4 linked regions of the Notamacropus eugenii genome follow. The protein of the gene in region 1 interacts with the protein of each later gene in a biochemical or structural test. Links are inferred from orthologs where the notes say so. Each region holds a gene or a part of one and is shown in the gene's direction. Other genes may lie near its edges.

The links.
Region 2: the proteins of TBP (region 1) and MSX1 form a complex in vitro, tested with the Homo sapiens proteins (2 studies listed by BioGRID). The link is inferred for Notamacropus eugenii from reciprocal best matches to the Homo sapiens genes TBP and MSX1.
Region 3: the proteins of TBP (region 1) and GTF2E1 form a complex in vitro, tested with the Homo sapiens proteins (3 studies listed by BioGRID). The link is inferred for Notamacropus eugenii from reciprocal best matches to the Homo sapiens genes TBP and GTF2E1.
Region 4: the proteins of TBP (region 1) and E2F1 form a complex in vitro, tested with the Homo sapiens proteins (2 studies listed by BioGRID). The link is inferred for Notamacropus eugenii from reciprocal best matches to the Homo sapiens genes TBP and E2F1.

What each region holds. Positions count from the first base shown.
Region 1 is NC_092873.1:267,360,822-267,368,372, forward strand, and holds the start of TBP (TATA-box-binding protein), read left to right. Parts: upstream 1-4,518; 5' UTR 4,519-4,737; intron 4,738-4,851; exon of another isoform or gene 4,852-5,231; intron 5,232-6,009; exon of another isoform or gene 6,010-6,101; intron 6,102-7,551. Other genes in the region: PSMB1 (proteasome subunit beta type-1), read right to left, coding at 184-305. UniProt on the Homo sapiens protein: The TFIID basal transcription factor complex plays a major role in the initiation of RNA polymerase II (Pol II)-dependent transcription.
Region 2 is NC_092877.1:61,337,074-61,344,392, reverse strand, and holds the start of MSX1 (homeobox protein MSX-1), read left to right. Parts: upstream 1-4,273; 5' UTR 4,274-4,472; coding exon 4,473-4,980; intron 4,981-7,173; coding exon 7,174-7,319. UniProt on the Homo sapiens protein: Acts as a transcriptional repressor. Capable of transcription autoinactivation.
Region 3 is NC_092876.1:345,122,139-345,130,080, reverse strand, and holds the start of GTF2E1 (general transcription factor IIE subunit 1), read left to right. Parts: upstream 1-4,886; 5' UTR 4,887-5,037; intron 5,038-5,737; exon of another isoform or gene 5,738-6,604; intron 6,605-7,942. Other genes in the region: RABL3 (rab-like protein 3), read right to left, coding at 4,584-4,629.
Region 4 is NC_092872.1:417,786,133-417,793,199, reverse strand, and holds the start of E2F1 (transcription factor E2F1), read left to right. Parts: upstream 1-4,036; 5' UTR 4,037-4,510; coding exon 4,511-4,765; intron 4,766-7,067. UniProt on the Homo sapiens protein: Transcription activator that binds DNA cooperatively with DP proteins through the E2 recognition site, 5'-TTTC[CG]CGC-3' found in the promoter region of a number of genes whose products are involved in cell cycle regulation or in DNA replication.

The sequences.
Region 1 (7,551 bases):
AACGCAGGCCAGTGGGCCGACTGGCACAGAGGGAAGCTGAAGGCAGGCCTGAAGTCCCCGGGGAAGGGGATCGGGCTCAGGATCCGGGCGCCGGAGCGAATCGAAAGTGAAAGCGACGCCGGGTCCGCAGCCCGGCCTCCACTGAGGAATGCGGCGGTGCCAGGAGGCCCAGCGAGCCCTTACCCCCCGTTGAAGGCGTAGGGCGAGAAGCGGCGCTGCACGGGGCCCGCGCTGCTATGAGGCTCCAGCTCCCGCTCCGTCCCGAGCCCCGGGTACGCAGCGGCGAAGGGGGCAGCAGACAACATCCCGCAGCGGTGGCGGCGGCGGCGGCAGGAACGGTCCTCTGGCTGCTGTCTCACCGAGAGATGGCTGCCACGCCGGAAATTAAGTTACTTCCGGATCCCGCCCCCGCCCGGCTCCGCTTCCGGCAAAGCCGCTCTAGCTCCTCTACACTCTATGGTCCGCTCCTGCGGGCACGTCGCCCCCTGCGGTTCGGAAGCGCTGTCTGGGGCTCCTTGCTGTGTGTGTGGGGGGGGGGGGGGGGACGTGAGAGGGAGGGGTTCAGGGAGGATCTCCCTTCGGAGCTAGAGAAGACTCACCGCCAGTGTCCTGGGCTCGAAGCAGGTGTTTGGCCTTACCTGTTCTGGGAAGCTTTACTAGCTCAAACCATGTAAAAATACAGAACCGACCTCTGAGTCCTGCGTTCAAGTGCTGCCCTTAACAAGCACAAGCCCAGAGGCCTCCGCTGAAGAGCTGTCCTTGGAGAAAGGGAGTCCCGGGTTCAAGGTTCAGCCCTGGCACCTACTGACCTCTCCTGACGCTGGCTCTGGGAGCTCCCGGAGGAGCAAGCTCCCTCTACCGACGCAATCGCACCTTCTCACCTGTCTCCGGTGTTGGAGAGTTACCCAGACGATGGAGAGGTTCCCTCCCACCCCCCATTCTTGGATGAAGATGTGAGGTCCAGAGTGCCTTGCCCAGGGTCTGACTGGTAAGGAAGGGCAAAATTCGAACCCAGGCCCTCTGCCTCCAGATCCAGCTCGGAGCCTGCTGTTAAACTACAGCTTTCAAAACTCAAAAGTTTATAGAAGTGAATGTTGAAGACTAAAAACAAATAAATAAATTTTAAAAATAGATAAAGTACCAGCTTTCATCAGGAGCCAGCACTAAGGGTTGGTCTGTTTCACTCAACCCAACAATGGAATGGCCTGGCAGCCAAGACATTGTATTCTGCGAGTAAAGTGCACTTGGTGGGGAAAATGTTTAATAACTCTTCAGCGACTGAGCTGGTCCGGAACAGTGTACTTTTGGTTTTGGAGGGGTTTGTGCTTTTATTTCTCCGATATCTTCTTCATAAAAATATTCTTTTGTAAAAGCTAAAATAAATAAAGTACCAGCTTTGCCCTTGGATTGATTTGCTTAATTCCTCCCAGACTCAATTTTCTCCTCCATGAAACTGGGGAGGGTGAGAAGAGATGATCTTTGGGGTCCCTTCCAGTTCTAAAAAAGTTTGTGAAAATTACCATATTGGTACAAAATCATAAAGACCAACCTTGCTTCAAAAAGAACATATAAAAAGGCATTTCCTTGCCCCCTCCCCCCCCCCACACACATTCCTTTGCATTGGGGTAACTGATCAGTGAAGAATATTACATAAAATATCTGATTTTTTTATGTCAATTTTGCTGAATTTTTTTCTTTTCCTCTTTTAAAAAAGTGGTTATAAGGGGTAACTGGGGAGGGTGAGAAGCTGGACATTGTATAAAGAGATGAGAAGCAAGCAGCAGCAGTGTGGCTCAGATCCCAGGAGGAGAAAGGGGTCTCAGTTCTAGCTTCTAGCCCACCCTGAAACTTGCAGAGTAATAACCAAGGCAGGAATTCCAGAGCTAAGGCCAGCCTACAATTCTGTTACTCTCAACCAGCAGCATTTCTCAGATGGCTGATAATAGCTGAGTCCAGCAGTAATCTACTACTACCCACACCAGGAAGTTTCAGAGGTCAGACTAAGCAGGCAGCTATCAGACTTTGCACTGAATCAGACAATTTTAGGAGTATTGAAAACTCCAAGCCTGAGTTGTTCCTGAGATTATGAAGTAACACAACATTTCAATATGCCAAGAAAGTAGCAGTAGAAGCAGCTCAGATATTCCCTCCAAAAGTGTACAGATCTTGGCCCTAAAATTAAGTCTAAAGTCAGAAAGGAAGCTTGAAAAATAAACAAACAAAAATCCCATCATGAAGAGTTTTTATGGTGATAGGGATGCTGAAGACAAACTCAGAAGAAAATTACCTCAAAACAACTACAAAGAAAAATGCAGCATAGGCCAAAAAAAAATTTAACCAGAATTCCTGGAATAGATGAAGCATACAATGACAACAACATGGTAAAGACACACAGCTTTGAAAGAATTAAGGACGCTAATCAGTGTGATGACCAACTACAATTCCAGAGTACTAACAATTACGTATGCTCCTCACTTTCTGATAGAGAGATGAAGGGCTCAGAGTGCAGAATAAAACAAAGGTTTTTTGGATGTGGCCCATACAGCTATGTGTTTTGTTTGACTTTACATGTTTGTACCATGTAACAACTTGTTTGTAACAGCTTTCTTCCTTTCATCCTCAAAGAAGGAGAGAAGATGGAATTTTACTTGTTGAAAAAAAAGGAAATATAATTTTTTAAAAGCAATGTTCAATAGGCTATTGGCAATGCAAGATCAGAGATCAGGGCAATGAATGGCACTAGATATATAGGTCTGCAAGTCATCTGCATAGAAACTTGGTAATTTCACCAGTTCCCAAGGATTTAAACATCATCTCTCATAGAATATTTGAGTGTTTTATTATTTATGTCTAACTCTGAGTCCTTTGTGTATATTCAGTTTCTATTAAGGACATACAAAAACCGTTCCACATTTGATAACCAAGAGACGACCCTAAACATGATCCAAGTCTTAGCTTTGCTGGAAATTTCTAAATGGGAGCAAACCAATAGAGAAATCTGACTTGATCTGAGGTCAGCCCTCCTACCTTGATGAATCTAGTCAATTTAAACTGACTCCCATGTTGAGGGGAGGGAGAGATCTGAGTAAAGGATACAAAATATAAAAGAGTTTATCAATAAATACTTGGGGCTAGGGAAATTTGAATTAGAGCTATCCCATGAACAGTCCTCAGAACTGCCCTTCTTTCTGATTGACCAAGTTGTTGGACAGCAGTTTCAGTTGTGTCTGACCCTTTATGACCCTGTTTGGGTTTTTTGGTAAATGATTTGCCATTTCCTTCTCCAGCTCATTTTACAAATGAGGAAACTGAGGCAAACCAGGTTAAGTGACTTGTCCAGAGTCACACAGTTAGTATCTGAGGCTAGATTTGAAATTAGGTTTCCATGACTCTAGGCCTGGTGCCCTGTCATCTGAACCATCTAGCTGCCCTCTAGTTGACCAGAGTGGGGAACTTTGGGGTCTACTTCTGGTCATGGAGTAACTTGGCACTGAAATAACTAGGTATTCTGGATGACCTTGGAAGGGTTTCTTAGTTCTCTCCATGCCACCATGACAGAAGTAGGGGGTGAGATACCATATTAGTTAAAAGAAGAAACAGCTTCAGTGTCTTTGCTTCAACTCTTCCATTGGACAAGTAATAAGCTATCTCTAGATTCTTCATGAAGATGGTGGAGGAATAGGTTATGTTCTTTCTTCCCAATCCACCAACACTGCCACGTGAGCGTTTGACCGGGTCCCTGGCAGCCTTTTTCAAAGTGACCAAACGTTAACTTTGAGGTGGATGTGTCTAAGCTTGCCTACGATCATGTGAGTTTAGGAAGCCTTTAGCTTCTTTGCACGTAAAACTGGAACTGGCTGGCGGTCTCAGGGTAGAAAACTCTGGGGATCTTGGATAAGCTGACTACCAACAAAAGGCCCGGGCCAAGCCCATCTCTTTTGCCCCCAGATACCTACAGAGAACTGTTTTGTTGCTTATTCTATGAAAAGAAGTGGGGTGGAGCAGTGATTTCTTAATTTTATTTGTATAAAACCTGAATTGAGGCAATTACGCGCTTTTTATGGGATTTATTTTTATGTGTTAGTGTTTACTTAGGGATTTTTAACTTTTTGATTTCTTTTTTCCTTAATTTTATCTTCATAAAACCTTTACAATGGCAATTATTTACCTGATTATTTTATAAAAAGGAGGGGGTGGAGTAGTAATAAAGACATTTTAGGAGGGGTGTGGCTAACAAAAAGTTTGAAAACCACAGTCCCAGGCAAAGTGCACCCAGAGTGACAAGGGCCCCGCTCAACTGATGGGAATGGGTGCCGTGAACACGCGCCTCTCCAGAAAGACCCAAGTGCCACAAGTAGCGGCTATTCAAGCCTCGCTCCAGAGACCAAGGCTGCAGCACCACAAGAGCTAAGCTAGCTACCAGCTCCGCCCACACACCTCCCTAGCACCGCCCACTCCCAGTCACGTGGGAGCGTTTCCGGAAGTGATATGACTGCCCACACTGAACATGGCTATATAAGTCAATGGCCGCAGGCGAGAGTGAAGCTAAACGGAAAGATGGCGGAAGTGGCGTCACTCGGCGCGCCGGGAGGTTAGGAAGGCCGGGTAGGCTTGGGTCGCCGTGGCGGGCGGAGAGACTGCCTCCGGCCCGACCTCGGGTTTCACCTGCCGCGGCGGTGGCTTTAGAGACTCTAGGTATCATTCTTTTGATTTCTTCCCTCGCTGGAGAGTCAAGAGGTGGGGAAAGCTGAGGGAGTGGACTCGGTGGGGGCGGTCGAGGCGACGGCCGCCGTGTCGCGCGCGGGCTTCTTTTCGGGAAGTGGGGGATGGGAGGAGGGTTGGCTGGCGCGCGGGAGGCGGCTGGGGGGCGGGGGGCGCTGCAGGAACGACCGGAGGGAGGCGCGAGGTGCTCGGGGGTTCACGGCCGGAGCGCGCCGGGCCCTGGACGCGGCAGCCGCTGGCCGCTCGATCGGTCCCCCGGCCCAGGGCATTGTTGGGCTTGGGGCCGTTTCCCGGTAATTTCCTCCAAAGCTCGGGGAAAGTGCGGAGGGAAGATTGCGCACGTGCCGGTGACCCGTGGAAGAGGCGTGCCTGCGGCTCGCTGCAGGCGGACCTGGGTGATAACCTCGATAGGACCCGAGGGGTAACCTGGATTCCCCTGACTCCCGGCGTCTTGGTGACCCTGGACCAGTTTCAGTGCCCCGAGCAGCCCTCACACCTTTACGTTCTCTGTAGGTGATGGTTCGAGATGATGGCGTTTTCTGAACCTTTCTATACCCATGAAATCGCTGGGTCAGTCCACAAACCACTTACTAAGTGACTTCCTAGAGGTTGGGAACCGTGCTAAAAGGGGGCATAGGAAGGAAGATGGACTACAGCCCGTGCCTTTCAAACAGTGGGAGCCCCTCGGGGAAGACAGCACGGTCCTGTAAAAGTCCGTACGAGATGCAGACGGCAGTCAGGGTAACTTAGTAGCAGCGGGGAAGTCTCAGAGGGGGAGAGAAGGGAGAGCGTTCCAGTGGTGGGGGATTGCTAGTGCAGTTGCACGGAAAGGGGAGAACAGCAAGGTGGTCACTACAGCTGACCTCCAGAGCCTCTGCAGAAGCAAAATGTTTAGGAAGACTGGAAAGACAGAGGGCAGGTTTCGAAGAGTTTTAAATGAACAGGAATGTATATTTGATCCCAGCGGTAATAGAGAGTCACCGGAATTTATTGATTCAGAGACTGACATGGTTCCTAGCAGCTTGGTGGTTCAGTGGACTGGACCTGGAGGTTCAAATCTGGTCTAAGATTTGTGACCCTGGGCGAGTCAGTTAACTTCTGGTTGCCCAAATCCACCGGAGAAGGAAATAGCAAACCATTCCCGTATCTATAGTACTGGTGTGCTGTGTCCATGGGGTCATGAAGAAGCGGACATGGTCAGACTTGTGCTTTTAGGAAGATCACGTTGGCAGTTGTATGGAGAATGGAGAGATACCTGAGACGTTCCAATTTAGAAGGCTAGCGTAATTCATTCAATAGGGTGGTGGTTGTGTTAGTTGAGAGAAGAGGACAACATATAGAGGAGATAATATGAAGATAAAAGAGACAAGAAATGGAAGGTAGTTGGTTATGTGGGGTTGAATGACTGAGTAGCGAATGTGGTTGGTGTGACTGCTGTCCTCAGTAACAGGGAAGGTTCCGGAAGAAAAGTTGATTGGTGGGGGGAGAAGAAAGGTCTATTTTGGACTTTCTGAGTTTGAGATACCTATGGGATAGCCAATTTGAAATGTCCCGTAAACACTTCTTGAAGCAAGTGGAGCTTAAGAGAAAGAGGAGGGTCAAGTGTTTAGATCTGGGAGTCTTCTACAGTAATTGAATACATGGGAACTGATGAGATCAGCAAGTGAGAGAACAGAGTAATTAGTATTCCTCTGTCCTTTATTTTTCCTTCCTCCCTCTTAAAAAAGTTAGCCTACTTCAGAGGAGCTTGGCCTTATTCTAGATCCTCTCTAACCCTTTCTACTTGTCCAAATTAACTCTCGAACTGGAATGCTGAGGTGCAGGTATAGCGACATTAACATCCCGCTGGGGAACTGATAATTTTTTCAATATACTGTATAATTTAGGAAATAAATGCCACTTCCAAAACTCCATAATCTATGGGTCTTTAGTCTCTATGCTACTGTGATAGCCCAAGTTGAAACACTATCTTAAATTTCTCTATAGTTGTTAACAGATTTTCTCTTGTAGATGCAGAACTTAGCACATGGTAGGTAGGTACTTAGTAAACATTATTGATAGATCATGCTTGTTTGAGTTCTATCATTCACATACTATTAACTACTTCTTAAGTTGAGCCTTCCCCTTAAGAAATCTTTGATCACCAAGAACAGCTGATAAGTAAAATTTATTTTAAATGTTTATGTCTGTACATTTTTCACATATTCAGTTCATATTATATTCCATATCTACTACATGAAAAATACTGTACTAGAGACACATGAGGCAGCTAGGTGACTCAGTGGATGGAGTATTGGACCTGGAGTCAGGAAGTTGTTGTTCTTGTCGCTCTTCAGTCATGTCCCACTCTTCATGACCCCATGGACCATATCACTACAGGCTCCTTTAGTGCTACAGACCACTATCTCTCAAAGTTTGTCCAAGTTCATATTCATTGTTTCCATGACACTATTTATCTGTCTCATCCTCTGCTGTCCCCATTTTCTTTTGCCTCCCATCTTTCCCATCATGAGAGTCTTTTCTAGTAAGTTCTATCTTCTCATTATGTGACCCAGACTATTTAAGCTTAAGCTTCAATATTTGACCTTCCACTGAATAGCCTGAATTAATTTAAGTATTGACTGATTTGATTTCTGTGCTGTCCAAGAGCCTCTCAAAAGTCTTCTCCAGCAGCGCAATTTGAAAGTGTCAATTCTGAAGTGTTCAGCTTTTCTTATAGTCCAACTCTCAGAGCCATACATTACTACTGGAAAAATCATAGCTTTGACTATATGCACCTTTGTGGATAAGATGAAGTCTCTGCTTTTTTAGTATGTTGTCCATATTTGC
Region 2 (7,319 bases), on another chromosome or scaffold:
GGGGTGGGAGTGGGGATGGGGGTGACGTGAGAAGGAAAGGAGGTAAGACAGGGTGGAGGTCAATTTCTGCGACGGCGCCTTTTAAAATCCTAGAATCCCAAGTGACTTGGTGGATTTCACTGTGGAGTATCCTGCTTCGGCCCCACTAGATGAGGGGAACTAGAGAGCAATGAGTTGGGAACTTTGAGATCTCTACTATATAGAAGGCACAGAAGCCCAGACTTCAGGTCTGTCCAAGGTACCAGGGGAGGGGAAGGGATTTGTCCCTTTAAATACATTGCAGTTTGGGGGCAAATGTTCATAGTGCGGAGCTGAGGAAGCAGGAAAACTTCTGCTCTAAACTCTCATTTGGCTGAAGCTCGAGCACTATGCTCTCGAAGGACTCGCAAAGCTCCAACAATTTCTTTTCCATCTTCTAAATTGCATACCTCCTCCACCCAGCATTTTAGCGCTCAGGCTGCCTCCTCAATACCCTAAAGTCGAAGGCAAAACCACGGTCTATGCAACCTTTCCTCGGGTCCCGACCCGAATTCCAAAGTAGCTCCTGCGAAGGACGGGGATCATAGCACTCCTGCTGCCTCCCGGATTCCTCATCCCCTAGACTCCTTTGCTGCATTTGCACCAAAATAAAATGCTATGGGTAATCGGTTTTCACAGCACATTCATTATATTAAACGGTTACTGTTTGAGACGCTAATTGCGCAATATCGTTATCTAGCGCCAGTGTCCTACTGAGCAGCTCGTTTCAAATAAACACACAGAGCCACTTCAGCAACTGCTACAAAGCAAATTAAAAACAAAACGGGGGGGGGGAGGGGGGATGGAGACTAAAAACGGATGGAGCAGGAGCCTTGTCTATCTCTCCTACTTCCAGGGAGGAATTTCCTTGCTATGGATTTATTAAAGGAACCGAACCTAGAGAAAGGATGGAAAGAACTTTGAGAGTATACCTGAAAAAATGTTCCCTTTGCGAACTCCAGACAGACGTACAAGTATGCTTTCAAGAGACGAGGGAGAGAGGAAAGGGAGGGAGGCAAGGAGGAAGAGGGGAGAGAGAGAGAGAGAGAGAGAGAGAGAGAGAGAGAGAGAGAGAGAGAGAGAGAGAGAGAGAGAGAGAGAGAGACGGACGGACGGACGGACAGACAGACAGACAGACAGACAGACAGACAGACTTGGGCAGACACAGATACGAAGGGACAGAGACAGACAGACGGACGTAGAGAGAGAGGCAGAGAGACAGAGTTAGATGTTCATAAAAGAAAATCTGACAATGCTTAGATATTCAAAGAGTGTGAGAGTGGAGGGGTTAGTCAACCGAAGTCTTTAAAATGCCCCTAAAACAGTGGGGCTTGAGTAAGTTAAAGGGGGATGCAACAGGGAAAAGGAAGGAGAAACTCCAATCTTTGTACATTATCTGTCTCTGGGAAGACAAGTCCTTGCCAGGATATGAATTACAATCAACTTGGTTCTCCTGTGATGCCATGATTAAAATACCACCAAGTATGAAAAAAATGTAAACACTGAAGTTCATTACTGCGAAATAAATATGGCATAATCATCTCATCCTGTCATACACTCTGGGCTCCCCAGTCAAAGCTCAATCCCAAGAAATGGAGCTAAGCTAACTTCGCCAAAACCCCTTCAACACCCTCTTAAAACTAAAACTGTGTACATACATACATGAATCTAGATACATCTTTTCCCTTCCTCTCCTCCCATCCCACCTCCTCCCCATTCATATTTTCACCAGAAACAATACGATCAAAACCCTGAGGGATTGTTGCGATCAGCGACTCCAACAGCACATTATTCTTCTCTCCAGTAACTCTTTTCTGAGAGCCGGCAGCAGGCGGGCAGAGCCATTCAGAGAGGGTGCAGCCCAAGATCAATAGGCGGAAGGGGTTCTATTATTACAATGATTATGATGGGTACTTGGAATTTATTCCTATCTCTAGATTTCTCTCACACACTGATACACACGCCTTCATTCCTACTTAAAGCAAAAAGCCGGGGAAAATCCTGCTTGTTTTCCAGCCTTGACCGAAAAATTAAAAAATAAAACCAGAATTTGTGGAAAATATCCTGAGGAGGGGTAGAGCAAACTGAAGCTGTCAGGCTGAATGGGTTGGGGTCTCAAGGCTAAGGCGGTTTGCTCCCTGGAGGAGGGTTAAAGTCTTCCACAGTCCCACTCCAGTTGAAGCCTTTGATCAGGCCGCTGCTGGCGCCTAAAAACAACATCACTTGTCTGCCTATTAGAGGCACTGACTAATCGGGACAGATTGTTTATTCTCGCAATTAGCAATGCTGCTGCTTCTAGGAAAGAGCAGAGGCTGCTCTTTGCTCCTCAGATCAGCCCAACCCCGCAGCCTCGGGGCAGAGAGCCGGCCAACCTGGAGCAAAGGGGCTTTTCACCTAGCGGATGAAACTGGAGGGCTCTTAAGAGAACTGATGGCCTCTTGGTAGGGCTGAGCTCCCCTACATCTTGCGAAACCGCTTAGACTCCCAGATCTCCCAGCTCCTTGGGTCCCTATCCCCCAAACCACGTTGAAATTTAAATGAGAAGGTGAAAGCTTCTACCTTCTCCCGGATTTGCTCTCAGTAAGCACGCCCGGAAGACCCAAACTTCCCTGCTCTATTCAGGTCTGTAACGAACCCGAAGACATGATGTAAACTTCCAGTTAGGCTAACAGGCGAATTTTACACACGGAGGCGCCAGGGCCTTTTAAAAATATCCCACAGGATTTGTACCCCCTCCTAAAAAACAAAAAAAACAAAAACAAAATAGGAATGGTGGCTGTTCACACCCCCTGCACAGTGCACAAGATTATTCCTTTCTCCCAGACCTGATTTCTTTTGTGTTTCTAAAGTTTCTTCTCTCATCCATCCGTTTTCTTAATCTCTATGAGCATAATCTACAGCCTTTATTGGGCCCAGTTAAAAGGAGAGGGAATTCTCTGTCCCACAGCCTTAGAGATAATTACCCCTAAATGGCTGCTAAAGCCTCTTGTGTTTCTAGGAGATTAGAGCCCTGTAGCCATCAATAAACTTTTCTCAGCGAGCGGCCAATCACGTTATTAGAGAACCGTTCCGTTTTAGTGCCGGTCCATCCTGGTCACAGGGATAAGAGATCATAAAAATGGGAGGGGGAAGACAGAATAAAATAGTCAGGTCTCTAGTGCTTTCCGAGCACAGCCTGGAAGAGTCTTAGTTCTAGTGATGATGGTTATATATGTATGTATGTATATGTACACACATTAATGCACATATATTAATATATCTGTATATATTCATATTGTAGATACACATGCATATATATGTAGCATAAGATGACGTTTCCTTCTAAATGGAGAAATAAAATCATTTCACACCAAACACAAGGGATAACCAGAGTTATGTGGGGACATTTAATTCTCTATTTTCCCATCCTGCACTTTTCTCCACCCCACTGGGGGTGCTTTTAAAAAAAATCTAAATATGTATGTATATGCAGAAAATTGGTAGGATCAAGTTGTTTTAAAAGGCTTGCCGTTTGAGGTCACTCTGAGGACAGCCCTGGATTTTGTTCATGTAGGTGCTGGTTCTATTTGGATAAGTCTTAAATCAGAAAAGAGGCGCACCCCCCCAAAAAAATTCCTCCCACCATCTCAGTACTTTGTATGTAATGTCACTTAATTCCAAAACAGGAGGGAAAAGTGAATGTGAATCACTCCTTTCTGGTAAAGTTCTGTTTAGAAAAAGTGCATCTCTATCCAGGAATCTTTGAAGTTAGGTTGCTCTTGGTCTTGTTTTGCTTTCATAAACTCGAACAAAGAGACATAGACCGCTGTGTCCGAAGAAAGAACGAATCTCACCATCTGGATAAAAAGGTAAACCAAATCCAAGAAAGAGAGGAAACATGAATACATTGGAATAAGAGACAGAAAAAGAGAGACACTGGAGAAGAGAAAAGGAAAGGGAAGCGAAGGAGAGGAAACGCAAAAATATTTAGTTCGGAGCTAACTTTCCCATTCACAAAACCCTCCCCCGTCTTCTTTCTCTTTTATTCCTATACCCCCACCCCTATCCCTATCCCTACCCCACCCCCATCTCCTACAGCTAGCTCTAGTCCATCCCGAACAAGAAAACTGGAGAAGGTTGTCAGTAGGTAAGTCCCGGAGCCCGAGGCCCAATGGAGAGCTCCTGTTCCTCCCCTCTCTACCCTGATTGGCCGGGAGCAAGCTTGCTTTGCCTTATTAACAAGTCCTACTGGGAGCCGCGACTGGACAGTACCCAAATCCCAGAGAGCGAGAGGCAGAGAGCTGTGAGTTGCTAGCCGCTGAAGCCTGGCATTTTGGGAAGAGAGCAGAAGAAAGGGTGGGGAACCCGAGAGCCAGTGCGTTTCTAAGTAAAAACTGCCCAGGAAAACTTCCCCAACCCCATGGTCGGTGGCGGCTTCTGCTGCGTCCTGAGGCTGGAAGGGACATCTGCTCTGTATGGCCCCGGCTGTTGATATGACTTCTTTACAAATCGGTGTCAAAATCGAGGAGTCTCCTGTGTCTGCCTTCAGCAAGCCCGGCGGTGGGGGAGGCGGCGGCAACAGTTCGGGAGGCGGAGGGGGCGCCCAGACTCCCAGCGCCTCGGCGGCCGCTATGGGGGGAGAGGAGGAAGGAGAGAAGCCGAAAGTGCCCCCTTCCCTCCTGCCTTTCAGCGTAGAGGCACTCATGGCTGACCACAGGAAGCCAGGGCTCAAAGACGCCCTCCCCGGGCCCGATGGGCCCCAGACAGCGGGAACTTCGGCTCAGTCCCTGGGCACCAGGGTCGGATCCTTAAGCGCCGGGGCTGGCCCAGAAACGCCCGCTTCTCCTCTGTCTCTCAACAGCCATTTTTCGGTGGGAGGACTCATAAAACTGCCGGAAGATGCACTTGTCAAATCCGAAAGTCCTGAGAAGCAGGAGAGGACCCCATGGATGCAGAATTCCAGATTTTCCCCACCTCCCCCTAGTAAGTAGGAAACTTGGGATGGCGGTCCTTGAAAAATTTTTGTTTTTGTTTTTGTTTTATAAAGGTAGGTAGGTAGGGGAGATTAGAAAAAAAAACATGTATGCGTGTACAGTCATGTCTGTATGCATTTGCTTGTAGACATGTACGGGTATGCATGTTACAATCACAGTTTCAGGGCTTGAAGACCTGGGAGTCCTTCATTTTGCAAATGGGGAAACTAAGTCCTAGAGAAGAATGATTTGCCCTAGTCCACAGTTAGTAAGTGGAGAAAGTCCGGGTCTCCGGATTTCCAGTTACAGTTCACCACACAGCATCGTCCTTTCATTTATAACGGACCTTTTGAGTTTTCTTAAAATGTGAGACTGGGAAGCGTCAGTCCTAGGTCTGGTGGGAGGCCAGACTCTTCTGTGAATGTTCCCTCCCCTCCCGGAACTCTATGGTTGTTGGTGAATCCCACTTGTGGGTAAATCATTTCCCAACATCCTATTCTTCCTACTCCACTGTCCCCTTGCCCCTCTCAGACCAAAATCAACCGAAATGGGGCAGGGAGGGGCGCGGGGGGGAGAGCGGGGAGTGGAAACCTCTGTTGTCACATACGTTATCCGAAGTTGTTTGTGTCATTTTTCATGTTGGTTGATGCCTTGGTCTGTCGCTCCAACCACTCCTTGTCCCTATTTCCCCCACCCCCGCCCACCAGTTAAAAGAACCCCTTCCTCTGGATCTAGTTTGGCTGAAGCGTTTGCAAGTTTCCTAACAGAAGGTCAGCAAGCTATTTAGGGAGTGAGGACATTCACTTTGGTTCAAAGGATACTTTAGAGACCATTTAGTTTCCTGCTACCAAAATGCTTTTTGGTTCGGGCAGCTGAGTACAGTGAGCACCCAATTTTAACTTGAACTGTCTTCTGGCACTCTGCTAACCTGCTTTCAATTAAGTGGAGCTGGAGCGATTGGGAGATGGGGGTGGTGGTGGTGGTCATTCCTGTACACACTCCCTGAACTTATAAAGATGGTTGTGTTCAGAAGGATTTAAATAGCACGGGAAATTCCCAAGTTTTCCTCATTTCCTTCGATTATTACTATTTTTTGTGTGTGGAATAATAGAAGCAATTCAATGCCGTGATCTTTAAGAACGATTTTATCTGGGGATTAAAATTCTTTGAAATGAAAGCCCCTCCCTTCATTTAACGACTAAAGAAGGCCGACAAAAAATGTTATGACTTCACTGCAGGGTAATTATGTTTCATCTACTAGACTCCTCTGGCTTCTCTGCTTTTAGCTAAAACTCAGGGAAATTTTTCATTGAATTCAAATGCTTAAATATCCTCTTCGCTCATTTTTTCCCTAGAGTATCTTCCTCCCATTGAATTGGGAGAAGAGAGGGTGGTATTAAATGATAGTTTGATACCACTCTTATCCCTACCCACACAGTCAATCCAAAAGACATTTGAAATTTCCTGTAACACTTAAAATTAGAATTTCACTTTCTGGAATTCATAAAGTTACCTTATTTTTTTCAGAATTGCAACCTTTCCTAGAGAAGCCTTCCGGCAACTCTGCTGGGGTGCAGAGCCTCAACCAGAATAGCAAGAGTTTTTCACTTAGAATTCTTAATTAATTACGTGTTTAATCTTTTTCTCCTGGGCCAGAAGAACGGGCTATGTAGGTGCGCTGTGCTAAAGTTGTCCAATTTATGTTCGAAGTTAGCTCTGCTTAGAATCTAGGATTTTCTCAGCAGCACAATTTCCTGAACTGTCTCCTTATGGTTTTTCTATTCTGGTGATGCAGACTCCCTGACTCTCCTTAAATCTATTTGGTTTTGCACGGAAAGGAAAGGACACAGTTTCACTCCCCGGGGGTTCTCTCCTGTCTTCCTTATACAGGCCAAAGAAGGTCAGGTTAGGTCTCTTTTCGGGACAGAGGGGATCAAAGCAAGGTAAGGCAAGGGCTGACACTTGGAGTGCCAGGCCTGGAGGACACAGGAGACATTAAGGAGGTGAAAGCTTCCGTGGGAATCGGTGGGAATTTTTTGTACCCTTTGCTGTGCATTACTAATCAGTGATCTCTCTCTCTCTCTCTCTCTCTCTCTCTCTCTCTCTCTCTCTCTCTCTCTCTCTCTCTCTCTCTCTTCTCTCTCTCTGTGTCTCTCTTCACTTTATATTTTCTCCCTCTCTCCCGCCCCTTCCCTTCTTTCAGGGCGGCTCAGTCCTCCGGCCTGCACGCTTAGGAAGCACAAGACGAACAGAAAACCTCGGACTCCCTTCACTACGGCACAGCTGCTGGCTCTGGAGAGAAAATTCCGCCAGAAGCAATATCTGTCCATCGCAGAGCGGGCCGAGTTC
Region 3 (7,942 bases), on another chromosome or scaffold:
CCAGGGATTAGGTTTTATAGATGAGGAATCTGAGGCTAAGAAAAGTTAAGTGACTGGCCTCAAGTTACCATAGGTCCTTCCTTCTCAAAGAAGACCAATGAGTCAAGAAGGGTTATGTTTCCATTTGCAAGTGAATTAGATTTAAGTGAGGCAGTGTTGTGCAAAGTCACCAGCCTCATCTTCACCTGAAACATCTCCACTCAGTGGCAATATGCAGACCAGGATGACTGGGGATGGCCCCAGATGCAGTGGGAAACCCTGACCTTTTTTTAAAAATACAATTTATTTTTCAGTTCTTAACATTCACTTCCACAAGAATTTGAATTTAAAATTTTCTCCCCACCCCCCATCCCAGGACAGCATGCACCCCATCCACCCCTTCCTCCAGTCTGTCCTCTCTTCTATTACCCAGCCTTCTTCCATCCCCGTTCCCCTCTATTTTCCTGTAGGGCAAAATAGATTTCTATACTCCCTTGCCTGTATATCTTAATTTCCAGTTGCATGCTAAAGCAATTTTTAACATTCATTATTAAAGCTTTGAGTTTCATATTCTCTTCCTCCCTCCCCACCCACTCTCACTGAGAAAACAAGTAATTCAATATAGGTCATACATGTGTAACAATGCAAAGCACTTCCATAATAGTTATGTTGTAAAAGGCTAAACACATTTCCTTCTGTCCTATCCTGCCCTCCATTTATTCCATTCTCTCCCTTGACCTGTCCTCCCATAATAGTTTTTGCTTCTGATTATCCCTTTCCCCAACTTGCTGTCCCTTCTATTATCTTCCCTCTCCTATCCCCTTCCCCCCGCCTTCCTGCAGGGTAAAATAGATTTCCATATCCAATTGAGTTTGTGTTATTCCCTCCCTAAGCCAAATCCCATGAAAGTAAGGCTCACTTATTTCCTTTCATCTCCCCCATCTTCCCCTCCATTGTAAAAGCTCTTTCTTCCCTCTTGTATGTGAGATGATTTGCTATATTCTACCTCTCCCTTTCTCTTACTCCTAGTATATTCCATTCAACAGTAAATTTTATTTAGGTATTTTCCATATTCAGCTCACCCTGTGGTCTCTATGTGTGTGTGTGTGTATATATATATATGCATATACACACATACATATATACACATATGTACATATATACACCTATACATGCGTAATATACACATACATACCCATTCACACCTACAAATATATGTGTATATATGTATATACACACATACATATATACACATATGTACATATACACACCTACACATACATACATACATACCCATTCACACCTATAAATATATATATGTAAATATATATATGTATATACATATATGTTCCCTCTAACTACCCTAATACTGAAAAAGGTCTCATGAGTTACAAATAACATCTTTTCATGTAGGAATGTAAACAGTTCACCTTTAATGAGTTCCTTAAGGCTTCTCTTTCTTGTTTACCTTTTCATGTTTCTCTTGATTCTTGTATTTGAAAGTCAAATTTTCTATTCAGCTTTGGTCTTTTCAACAACAATGCTTGGAAGTTCTCTATTTTATCGAAATTTGATTTTTCCCCTAAAGTATTATATTCAGCTTTGCTGGGTAGGTGATTCTTGGTTTTCAACCTAACTCCTTTGACTTCTGGAATATCATATTCCAAATCCTTCAGTCCCTTAGTGTAGAAGCTGCTAAATCCTGTGTTCTCCTGATTGTATTTCCACAATACTTGAATTGTTTCTTTCTGGCTGCTTGTAATATTTTCTCCTTGACCTGGGAACTCTGGAATTTGGCTACAGTATTCCTAGGAAAGAAAATTCCTTCAGGAGGTGATCAGTGAATTCTTTCCATTTCTTTTTTACCCTCTGGTTCTAGAATATCAGGGCACTTTTCCTTGATAACTTCTTGGAAGATAATGTCTAGGCTCTTTTTTGTGATCATGGTTTTCAGGTAGACCAATAATTTTTGAATTATCTCTCTTAGATCTATTTTGCAGGTTAGTTGTTTTTCCAAGGGGATATTTCACATTGAGTTCTATTTTTCATGCTCTTGGTTTTGTTTATAATTTCCTGATTTCTCATAAAGTCATTAGCTTCCATCTGCTCTATTCTAATTTTTAAAGAACTATTTTCTTCAATGAGCTTTTGGACCACTTTTTCCATTTGGCCCATTCTGCCTTTTTAAGGCATTCTTCTTCTCTTTGGCTTTTTGGATTTCTTTTTGCCATCTGGGTAAGTCTATTTTTAAAGGTGTTATTTTCTTCAGCATTTTTTGGGGGGTCTCCTTTAACAAGCTATTGACTCACTTTTCATGATTTTCTTGCATTGCTCTCATTTCTCTTCCCAATTTTTCCTCCACCTCTCTTAGGTGATTTTCAAAAACCTTTTTGAGCTCTTCTATGACTTGAGATCACTGCATATTTTTTTTTGGAAGTTTTAGATGTAGAAACCTTGACTTTGATGTCTTCCTCCGATGGCATGCTTTATTATTCCTCATCCAAAAGGATGGAAGAAAATACCTTTTCACCGAGAAAGTAACATTCTATAGTTTTATTTTTTCCCCCCTTTTTAGGGCATTTTTCCAGTCAGTTACTTGACTTTTGAGTCCTTTCTCACGTGGAGGGTATATTCTAGTGACCTGTAAGTTTACAGGGACCTTCCAGTGCTAGACTATAATTCTATGACCCTATGGTTTTTATATGGTTTATAGCCTACCCTGCAAAGATGAACACTGGGGAAGTGTATCTGACAATCACCGTAAGCCAGGTGAGGTCCTTTAAAATACCCAGCCCTCTACAAGGAAGAGGGCTGGGGATGATTAAAGAGAAGGAAAAGGTCTAGGATATTTGTTCACTGTTCCAGAGCTTAGCCCTTGGGGCTGAGAATCTCCTGCTTGAGGGAAAATAAGCTTCAAGTTTGAGACTCTGAAGAAGCAGGATGGGGGAGGTTTTCTAATATAATGATTTCTGCTCTTTCTTCAAGCAGCAGCATCCAAGGGCTGTGCCGGAAGCTGGAGGGAGTGCAGACTAAAGTCAAAAAGCATCTGACAGAGTCCAGCAGAGGTGCTGCTTCCAGGCAGGAGTAGGGGCAGTAAGCCCAGTAAACCAACACCGACTCAGTCAAAAGCACATGACCAGAACTCATCAGGAGCCCAGCAGTTCACTCCCAAAATATGTTCCCCAAGCGTGGGCTCCTCAAACATGATCTCTACGTTTGCTCACTCTCTCCACTGAAAATGTATATAGGTATGGCAGAGTATATGTTGCCTTATTGGGGAAAGGGAGAGTGTGGGGGGGGGAAGATCTATTGTTCATTCCTTATTATGCTATTTTATTAAGTGCATTTTCTTCAAAATAAATGTGTCCTCAGGCTCACTAGGGAAGAAACAGACACATCAGTAGAGGTTTGTTCTGTTCTGAGTAGATGCAAATCCAGAGTCTCTTGAACCTGGAGGAATTATTCTATAGTAAGAGGGAGTGAGAGAGGTAAGCTAAAATCAGTTTGGGGTTTTTGTTTTTTAGTAGAAAGCACCATACTGACTCCCTTCATTTATGAATACTCTCTTATTTTACAGATGAAGGAACTGAGACCAAGAGTCTCGCCCACAGTCTAAATAGGATTTGAATCCCGGCCCAATCAGCCTAGTGCCCTTTTCCAAGCCGGTTTGGGACTGTGTTGTCAGGTGGTTAACGGAATAGAGAACCAAGTGTCTGGTTTGCACAGATACATGACTTAAACGTAAAGCTGCAGAGGACGGAGGAATGGAAGTGGTGCTTAAACACAGTCTTGCCGGGTCAATAGGACAGAAGGAAGAAAACAGCAGGGCAAGGCGAAGTGTGAATGTTAGCGGTGTTTTTGGTGATCGATAAACTTGACGTGAAATTTAATTTGCAATTCCAAGATCCCTTTTCCCAACCGAGGGTCAGCAAACTGCAGTTCATAGCCTAGATCCAGTTGGCCTGGCCCCAGGCAGCAGTCCAAGCATGGTTTTTGGATTTTTAATGAAGGTTTTTGTTAACTCGGTGGTCAATTCCCTCCTTCACTCCAACGACTGACCTCCCTGGCTTCCTTTACGTACCTCTTAGTATCCTACCTCCAACCCCTTGGAATGACACTGCCTTTCCCGTCTTTGTCCTGGATATAACTTGCTTTGTCACTACTTGTTGGCATGTTCTGTCTCTCGCTGGATGGTAAGCTCCTTCAGGGCAGGGAGCCTTTTCCTCTTTTTTGTATACCCCTCGTATTTTGACAGTTTTAGGCTGTCATTCCTGTGACTACGATCTCCAACGATGCAGACCCTCCTGCCCCAACAACACCCTCACAGGCGTTCACGTACTTTTAGTAGAAAGGAAGCAAAACGCCTGGAGAAGTAAGGCACAACTAAGAGTAGGCCAAAAGCATGGGAGCCAAGGAAGAGGGAGCCCCGCCCACACAAGCGACCTCCCTAGCTAGGCCCTCTGGGAAATGTAGTTTTCCGTTCCCACGGAGCCTCTGACTCCAGCCGAAAAACTTAAAAGCGGGGAGAAGAGCCATGAGGAAGGAAGCGAACTTCGGCAGCCACTGCGTGGTCGAGAGCAGAGAACAAAGCCAGGACTACTTACCTGAGTCCCCCAACACTAGCACCTTCACCCGATCCAACGACGCCATCTTGCCGCCACTGGTTAATAGCAAGCCTTTCCCGGTCTAGGGCAGGTTGATAGAGAACCTACTAATCACAGACCTTGTTTGAACACGGTACCGCCCCATACCCCGCCTTCTCCGCTATTTCATTGGTTAATGGGAATAGGACTCTCTTTTTTGCAGCATTGATTGGTTAGATGTATTTACGAGCAGTCTTTCCTGGGAGGAGGAGACTGCCCGTCCTACGCAGCGGGCGGGCGGGGCTGGGGCCTAGGGGCGGGGCTCGAACCGGGAGGAGCGGGGCTAGAAGCGGAAGCAGGGCTGCGCGGCGGGCCCTCGGCGGCGTCAGCGTCGCGCTGGTGACGTATTTTGTTGTGGACGGCCCTTGGTTCGCCTGCTGAGCGTGCGTCTCCCGGCTTCTGCCGCCTGTCTCTGGTGAGTGGGGCTCCCCGAGCCCCGGGTTCTGCGCCGCACCAGGCTTTCACTTCCTCCCATCACCCCCTAGTGCCTCTTAGGTCTTGGTCCTTTCCCTGCCGCTGGCTATCCTCCCTGGGCCCCTGGTTTCCCTCCCGGGCCCCTTTCTCTCCCCAGGCTCACCTGCGGCGTGCTCCGGGGCCTCAGGACCCGAGCGAGCCGGGAGGGAACGTTTGGGCGAGTCCACGAGCTCGTACCGAGGGCCTGCTGGGAGCCAGGCACTTCGCAGAGCGCTGGTCCAGCTCCCTCAGTTAACAGAAGAGGAAACTGAGGCTCACGGAGGAGAAGAGCGCCGTGCCCTGCGGTCTCACTGGAGTCCTGGGGGGTTTCAGTTGTGGCCCGGCCGCGAGGCCTCGCGGAGGGGACCCTATTAGGGTGTGGAAGGAGAGGAGGGTGAAGGAGGCCACCCGGGCCGGGGTCTTCCTTTAGACCGTCCTTTAGTTCGAAGACAGTTGGACCCGGTAAAGTTTTGTGGTTCCCACGCCGCAGAGCCTTCAGTTAAACTGTTAGCCCTCGAGTTTGGGGCCTTTCTTTGCATTCCTAGCGCTTAGCACAGTGCCTGGCACACTGTGGGGGCTAATAAATAAGGACTCGTTATACTGACGTATTATTAGTAGGAACTGGTCGATATTTTACTTACTAAACGCTTGTTATGTGCCAGGCACTATGCTGACTGAGCCAGAGAAAGGCCAGAGCAGGTCCTGCCCGCCAGGAGCTCCCCGAGGAGGTCTGCCATGCCCGTAGCCAGGTACCAACGAGATTACTGCCCGGACGGATTGGGGTCGGTCTCTGGGAAAGAACCCAGATTAAAGAGCCCTGGGAGAGAGGCTTGCTTCTTACAGAGGCGGGACCTGCAGGAAGCTAGGGAATCCAGCAGTCACGGAGGGCGAAAACACTCCGAGTAGGGAGGTGGAGGTTCCCCAGGGGAGGAACGAACAGCCCCGAGACCAGGGTCCCTTGATGGTGTAGAGTGAGTGAGTTCTGTTTATGCCTTACTGCCTCCAGTGCTAGGTTCTGGATGCGTAATTAAAATACTGCTTTAAAGGAAGATCCTTGATGAGAAAGAGGGAAGTCATAGGATGGCAGATTTAGATTACAAAAACCCTAGGTTAGATAAAGGTTTTTTTATTTAAAAAAAAAAATTGTTTTGAAGCAATCAGGGTTAAGTGACTTGACCAGGGTCACACAGCTAGTAAGGATCTGAGTCACATTTGAACCGGTAGTTGGTGTTCTGAGCATTCACCATCTAGCTGCCTCTTATAACTTTTTAGAGTGCATACAAAGTACATTCCGGGCCTTAGAGGGTATCTAGTCCCTTATTTTACAGACGAAAAAAACCAAGGTACAAAGAAGTTAAGTGACTTGTCTAGGAATACACGACTGTGTGCGTATCTGAGGAGGGAGTGGGAACCCAGCTTTTTCTGGACTCCATGTCAGGCTAGTGGTCTTCATAGGAGTTCTCCTATCTACTACTTCGTAGGAGTGCGCTATTTCCTCTTGGATTGTCGCAGAGACTAATGGAAATAAGGTAAACTTCTAATAACCCACTAGCATGAAAATAATATGCTTGAGAATCAGTTGACTTTTTAAAAAAAAAAATCTGTTTTACTCATATGCACCTGCGTTGCCACTGGTCTCTAAGGGTGGGGGGGAATGGACAGGAGAAGCTTTCACTTGAGCTGGGCCTTGAAGAGTTGACCTAGCTTTAGACAGAGGTAAATAGACATTCTAGACAAAGAGAACTTAGGAGCTAAAGCGGTAAATAGGGTGAAAAAGCATGGTGTGCCTAGAGGATAGTGAGGAGTCTTAACTTGTTAACGTATTGGAAAGTTCTGTTGCAAGTGAGATAACAACACTGTGTGGCCCTTGACTCCCTCTCCCAATGATGAGCTGGTTTCCCAGAACAGAATTGACTTTGTACTTCTTCCCTCAGGATTTCATGAGAAGGGTTAGGGAGTGGATTTTCTAATCCCCTACAGGTGTATTCTCCAATAACATGCAAGGCTTATTAGCTTAGGTTGTAGGTCTTCTATAATGCCTTCCTTGATTGTTCCAGGACTCAGTAGCCCCCTTTTCTGTAAAGTCCCAAACTGTTAATAGTTTATGCCATGTAATTTATCTCACAATTATCTTATTGTCTTATTTTATTTTGCTAATGGGTCCCTGCCTTCTTGTGGTGTGTTGGAATGAACACTAGCTTTGACTATGTTAAAAGCATATAAATTTATTCAAATTTTATGAGTGGAATCATTTTTTACTATGCAAAAAGAAAAACTATATTCCTTGCTGCATGTGTAGATTATGCTCTCAAAATTTTTGTAGATGTGGAAAAGTAATTCAGAGTTGATATTTTTTCCCAGTTGCCTTTTTTAGATAATAAATTCCAATTTTTTTCCCATGTCCTCGTTGTTCTCCCCTCTTTCTGTGCTTCAAAAGTCTATTATGCCTCAGTGACCTCAAAATTGTGTTACCTCCAGCCACAAACTGTTTTGGGTGTCCTTGGTCTAAACTAGCTCTTTGTCTCACCTATTTTCTCTGGTGCCATTTCTATTTCTTCATGCAGCACTTCAGAGACTATGAGTTAAGAGTCCAGATTTGTGGTGAAAAGCTTTTGTTTTAAGAATTTTTAATGTCTGTGTTCCATTTTTCCTCAGTGAAGTTTCATCCTTAAATATTCCAAGTACTTTTGCTTATTTGGGTCTCTTACCAAGCTTTCTATAAACTTATTTTTCTGTATGCTGTCTCACTTTTTAAAACACAATTTTACTCTTCCTAGGCCACCATCTAAGATAATGTAAAATGGCTTTGCTCTTGGCTAGCATCTCTTTCCACTTGTCAAGGAAATCATTTCTTTGTCCTTGTCTTC
Region 4 (7,067 bases), on another chromosome or scaffold:
CTCTGGGTGCACCCAGGAGGCACCTGAATACATAGGGAAAGCAGAGGAGGAACAGAGAAAGACCAACTTTGCCCACTTCAGGTTTTGCTTTGGGTTGGCCTCAGGTTTCAATAATTAATACTGTACGATGAAAAAAAAAGGCAGCTTTAGGATTGCCTTGTGTGGCTCAAACTCTGTCAGTCTGAGTCTGAGGTGATGACAAGCATCTCCAGCCCAAGGGTCGGTTCATGCAAACTCAAGCATGAGTATGATTATTGACACCAACAGGAAATCTTATCAGCAGCTCTCAGGCTAGGAGCCCTAGAACAAGAGCGCTCAAAAGGGCTAAGGCTTCTGGGTATGACATCTTTCAAGTAGATATTAACAGATAGTGTTTAAGCTTCTATCTGCCGCTGAGCTTATGTGCTGCCTTGGGCCAGTCCCATCTACTTTCTGGACCTCTTTTTCTTTATCTGTAAAGAAACTGTCCCTTCTCACTCAAAGGATTCCAGTTTAGCTTGTTTCTTTTCCAGTCTGCTCTTCTCCTTGAGGCTGGGGACAGGACATCCGTGGCATGTGGCCCAGAGGAAAGAACTATTTATTTTCATCCTGGAAGTCTGCAGCAATTTATGTGGCAGATCAGCCTGTTCATAGGCTGCCCTAGAATTGAGGGAAGGGTCAACCCCAAGGCCACAGGCAATACCAAACCAAGGAATGGAAATGGTACCAGTATAGGGGTGTGCCCTTTCTGAAGTCTGAAGAGGTGAAGTCCCAGCTAAAATCCCATCTTCTTCAAGGAAACCTTCCTCATTCCCCTTAATGCTGATGACTTCTCTACCTTGATTATCCCCTATTTATCTTACATACTTATTGTTTGCACGTGGTTGTTTTCATGTACCCCCCACTAGACCGAGAACTTGTAGAGAGCAGGGATTAATCTTTTGCCTTTCTTTGTATCTCCTGGGCCAAGTATGGGACCATGCACATAGTAGGCTCTAAATAAATGTGTTTTGGACTGACTGACTGAGATTAAAGCAGCACTTTCAGTGAAAAAGGAAACAATACATTCCGGGAAAGAGGTCTAAGGCTCGGATAGCTCCAACGAATATGAAAAGGCCTGCGGAGACTACTAGGTTGCCTTAGAGTGAAGACTTCCTCTTTGTTCTCAGTCATAAGACCCCCACCTGTCTTAGGGGAATGGTGACTTTCTGGTTTCTATAATAATGGGTTCCCAGGGAATCCAGGTTGTGAACTGGAATTATAAAAACTCTCACCTCCTGCTGGGGTACTCTACCAGCCTGGCCCTGGGTGAATTGTGGGAGGGAACCCAGAGGGGACCCTACCCTAATCTCCCTCTCTGACTCCTAGAAGGATCATTTCCTTCTTACTACTGATCCACACTGCTTGTTCTTGACCCAGTGCTGCCTTCTTCAAGAAAGAATCTTGCTATTGCTACATCTGCTTCATGACATTCATTCATTCATTCATTCATCATTCATTCATTCATTTATTCATTCATCCATCCATCCATCCATTCAACATCTGTTATGTGTCTGCCCTGTATTGGGTGAAATACAAAAGTTTAGGTCTGATACAATCCCTCTGTCTTTCTTGCTTTTCCTGCTCCTTGGGCTTACAGACCTGCCTTCACTATTCTTGAGTGCCTGTTTCCCAACTAGACAGATGTTGCCGAGTCACCTCTAAAATGACAGGCAGTTGGTGCTGCAGTGGATAGAGAACAGGGACTGGAGTCAGAAAGACCTGAGTTGAAATCTGACCTCACGAATATACTAGCTGTGTGACTCTAGACAAGTCACTTAACCTCTGTTTGCCTCAATTTCCTCAAAATGGGGATAATAATAGCACCTCCTTCCCAGGGTTGTTGTGAGAATAAAATGAAAGAATATTTGTAAAAGTGCCTGGATTGTACACAATGTTTATTCCCCTTTCCCTTCACTTCTAAAATGAGGGAACTGTCCAGTCCAGAGGGTAGATCTGGGCAGCTTGGTAGGTTGCAAAGGTTTTTTGCTGTAGGGGTTGGGTGGGGGTGGGGTAGAGGGGTGGACCATACACACCCAAACCCAGACCTTCTCTGAGACTCTCCCATCTCTCAGTAATGATCTCCTTGGAAATCAGGTACGTAGGTTGCTAATCCAAAACCAGGTGTTTGCAAGCAGCTACAGAGAATCTGGGCCTGAGGACTCCCATAATACTTTTAAGATTCCAAAAAAACCTGGTTTCTTCCCAGGGCTAGTCCAGTCCAAGTTAATTGGTGTGTTCAGTTTCCCCAATCCCTGTCAATTTGAGATGACAAGGGAGACTGAAAGGAGGAAGGATCTCCCAGAAGCAGGGGAAAATCCATTCTAGGCCTACATAGGAAATATGTTAATTTGTCTTAATATCTTAATCTTTAAAAGGGAAAAAAGGAATGCAGAGAATTGAAAGCCTCTAGGTTGAATGGGGGGGAGGGGAAAGTTGTCTCTCAGGTCAAAGGGGATCTATGTCTGTGAGACAGGTCTCTGTGGTAGTGGTGTATCTGTAGAAGTAGAGATTATGTGTTAGGGGGTCCACGTGTAGGATGTTTCAGGGTTTGGGGATGGTCTGTGATTCTGGTTTCTGGTATGAGGGAGTCTTTGAGTCCCCAAGTTTGAACTTTTTCTGGGGGAATCTCTCTGGGCTAAGGGTTCTGTGGGTGTTTGGAGGAGGGTGTTCCTGGACTGAGGACCTGGGTTTGGGGAATTGGGAGGGTGTCTCTCAGATGACAAGCCGGGGGGGGGGGGGGGGGGGGGGGCTGTCTTTGAGTTTAATTGTCAGTATCTCTGAACTGAAAGGTCTAGGGGAGAAACTCCTCCAGAGTTCATATGAATCTCTGCAGTCCTTGTGTTTTCGATGGCTGTGCCCCATGACTGGATTGTCTCCCTCCTCTCTGCTGCCTCCTGCCATCCCTGGCCCCTTTTTAAGAGGAGGCTCAAATCCGACCTTCTGCAGGAGGCTTTTCCTAGTCCTCCTACTTCTCACTTCCTCCAAGTACCTTTCCTATGTTTGCACAGTATATATCTTGTATATACAGTTCTTTGCCTGTAGTCTCCTCCATCAGAAGGTAAACTCGGTTTCTGCCTTTCTTTGTACCCCCAGCACTTAGTTCAATGTCTGGCACATGTTGTTAGTTAGCTGAGTGCGACTCTACTGTGAGCCCATGACATGGGAAAAACCATGGGGTTTTCTTGGCAAAGTACCGGAATCGTTTGCCATTTCCTTCTCCAGTGTGTCCTTATTTTACAGATGGGGAACTGAGGCAAACACAGGGGCGGCTGGGGTGGTCAGCCTTAAGTCTAGAAGACCCCTCAATTCAAGCCTCAGACACTAGCTACGTGACCGTGGGCAAACCCCGTTTGCCTCATTTTCTCCTCCGTAAAAATGGCAAACCATTCCAGTATCTTTGCCAGGAGAAGCCCATTACGGGGTCACGACTGAGCGACAAAGCAACTTCCCCAGGGTCACACAGCTAAGAGGTGTTCTTATAGAAACTCAGATCTCTCCGACTTCAGGCCCCGCGATCTCTCCAGGGCACTGCCTCGCTGCCCCTGACTGACATATAGGAAGCGCTTCATAAGTGCTGGCTCGGCAGGGCAGACGCTTTGCAACGCTTGGGGAGTTGGTCTGGGAAGGCGGGGGTGAGGGGAATCTCGGAAGCGTACCTGGCAGGGGTGGGCTTCTCGGAACTGAAGGAGAGGTGTAGGGGATATCTGGACTTAAGGGGTCTTGTGGGAGGGTTCCATCACCAGCTGGAACGGGGCGGGGCGGGGTTGGGCAGGGCCGAACTGGGCAGGACCAGAGCTTCCGAGTCCGTTCCTTCCCGGCGGCGCGCCTCCCGGACAAAGCCTGCGCATTTTCCTGGCGGTGATTGGCTGAGAGTGACGTGCTGACCGCCCCCCTTGGACACGCAGGCCGGGGCCGGCGCGCCGTAACCAATAGCAGGGCTCGGCGCCGGCGCTTCTCTGTATCAATCTCGGAGCTGCCAGCCAATGGGAGCGCCGCTACCCGGCTCGTGCCCCTTTCGCGGCAAAAAGGATTTGGCGCGTAAAAGTGTCCGGGACTTTGCGGGGATCAGCTGGAGAGACCAAAACAAGCTCCCAGCCCCGGCTCCGGTCCCGGGCATTGCTCTGTCCTCCAGTCTCCCGCCTCGGCTCCATCCGTCTGTACGGATCCCATCACTACTGAACCCCGGAGTCCAGGACCGCGCATGGGCCAGGGCCCTCTCGGAGCCTCCGGCAGCTCGCGCCCCAGCCCCGGTCCGGGGCCCTGAGCCCTCGCCGGGCAGGCCAGGCCGAGCCGGAGACTATGGATCTGGGATCCGGAGCAGGCTCTAGTGCCGAGACCCCCGGCAGCGGATAGTGCCCCGAGAGGCGACCGCGGAAGCCCGCCCAGCCTCGGGCCGCGCCCCGCCCCAGCCCTCCCGGCCCGCCGGCCAGTCCCTGTCCCTGGGATGTGAGCCGGTGCCCGGGGGAGCGAGCGAGCCAGCGGAGCCGCCATGGCCCTGGACGGCAGCGGCGGCGGCGGCGGCACGTGCGTGGCGGAGCTAGAGGCCCTGCTGGGGGCTGGGGGGCTGCAGCTGCTGGAGCAGCAGATCGTCATCATCTCCACCCAGGACGAAGGCCCGCTCAGCGCCGCCGCTGTCCCCGTCACCGCCGAGGGGCCCCGAGAGGCCGAGTTGCTGCTGTTCGCTACGCCCCAGGCGCCCCGGCCCGGAGCCAGCGGACCCAGGCCTGCCCTGGGCCGGCCTCCGGTAACTACTCCACTCCCCGCCCTCCCAGCACCATGGGCGGGCCTCGGCCCCGGGCATCTCTGTGAGCATGCATCTCCACGGCGGGACCCGAGCGCCAGGGGCCCTGGGCAGCTTTCCAGGGCTGATCCCACGGCCAGGAGGGCGGCTCTGCGGGCGGGGGCACGGCTGGAGGGGAGTCTAATCGGCTGTACCAGATGGATGGGTTTGCGCCAGAGGGAGCCCCCTTGCAATGCGCCTGCCTCCGGGGTGGAGCTGAGCTGTGGCCGCCTCACAGCGCTGGGGACTCTCTGTACCTTTGCCCTCTCAGAGAACGTGGCCTAGTGCTCCGAGGCCGGGTCTGGATAGGAGGGGGGCGGCGGTGGAAGCTGGCTTTCTCCTCCCACTGGACGGTGGGCTCTGGCCTTTAGATACTCCCAACCCCCTCCACTCAGTGGAGAGACCCGACTCTGGCTGCCGAAGGGCAGCCCTTGGCCTGGGGCAGAGCTGAGATTGAGGATGGACCCTGGGTGTCAGTATTTGAGTCTGTTCAAAGTCCTGTTTTATTAACCACATCACCGGTGGCAGTAAAATGAGGTGGTGGGTTTGTGTCAGTAGGAGTGGCTACACGCTGTAGAACAGGAGTGCTCTTTGCCAGGGCTGGAGTGTGTGTGTGTTTGGGGCGGGGGGGAGGGGGGGGCAGATCATAGTTGATTCAAGAGGAGGATGAGAAAGAATGCTGTGGGGTCCTATGCTTGCAGCTGCCCACCCAGTGCCCCTGTAACATCTGCTGAGTGCCCCTGGGTACTCGAAAGGTGCCCAGGTGTGGGCGCTGCCTTTCCCGGCTCTGCTCTCTTTGCCCCCAGAAATGGACCAAAATTGAAGTGGGCTGTTTGTGTGAGGCCTCGGCAAGGCGGGAATGGGTTCTGCCTCTCCCCCATTAGGGAATGAGGGTACAGCCTGGAGTGGCAGCTGATGTTCTCCCTCCCACCGCCCCCTCCATCTGTTGGTCCTCTCCACCTGCCTTCATATTTTCAAGGGGCTTGTTGCCATAGTGTCTAAATGCTCAGTGAACTTGTTCAGCTCCCCTAGGCCCCCTGGGGGAGGGGAAGGGAACGGGTGACTGAGCTGGTCCTTGGCCTCTGTGGTGTGGTGCCTGGGTGGCTGGGGGAAGGGCTGAATGAGGCAAGAGGGAGCAGTTGAGCTGCTTGTGGCAAGTAGTCTCCCTCCCTCTGCACCTCAGCTGCCCTGCCCCTCTCATCCCCCTTCCCTCCCTCCATTTTCTCTATGAACCTGTAGAACCTGGTTGGGTTCCCTTGGGTTGAGACCAAAGAAAGCTCTCTCTGCTGTTGGAAGCCAGACACCAGGCCCTGGGTTTGGCCTTAGTATCTGGTCCTGATAGCACTGAGACCCCTGGAGGTTGGTGGTCCTACCTAAGAGGAACTAATGTGGGAAAAGGGGGAGTTAGGAGAGCTGGCCTCTGTACCTGGGACAGTGAACTGTACAGATTGGGTTTGGCCTGGGATTCCTAGGACATGTTTTGTGGTCAAGTCAGAGTCCTAGGGCCTTTCCAAGGGACTTCCCCAAGGATATCTGGGATATTGATGAGGCTACTGGATTGTGTAGTCTGGAAGAAGGAGGAGGCGAACCCCAAACAAAACCTGTCTGAAAAATTAAAAAAAGTCTTGGCCCTGGGGAGTGTTGAGAAAAGGGAATTACAGCAGATGCACCAGTCATGTTGGGAAAACTTCCTGAAATCTAGGCCCTTCTTCAGCAGCCAGCGATTCCGATTGGCTGTAGTGTGTGTGTGGCTGTGTGTGTGTGTGTGTGTGTCTGTGTGTGTGTTGGGGAGGGAGATGAGACTGCAGTGGTTTTTTGGATAGAGGTCGTAGAAGGTCTCCAAATCATATGGCAAACCCCCACTGTGGGCTGTGATAAGGTGCCCTGCTAAGTTGGCTCTCCTGGGTAAGTCAGGGAGAGGAGATCCCAAAAATGATCTGCAGACCTACCTCGTGCCCATCTGAGTCCATGCCATATGGGTTTCCTGCCTTCCCTTATTGAACTGGAAAAGGAGCTGCATTCCCAGGGGACTGATAGTGGTGGGGAGTGGCACAGAGGCATCAGAGTGTAGAGGAGAGAGTCCTAGATTTGTGGTTAGATTTGTGGTTAGGAGCTGGGTTCTAATCTAACTTCCACCACTTATCTACTTATCCCTCTCCAAGTCACTTCCCTGGTTTCCTTATCTGTCACACAGGGCCTCATGCCTCTATATGGACTCTGATGTCTCCCTTTTCTCCTTGCCCTGTTTTGGGGGCCTAGTAAGGGG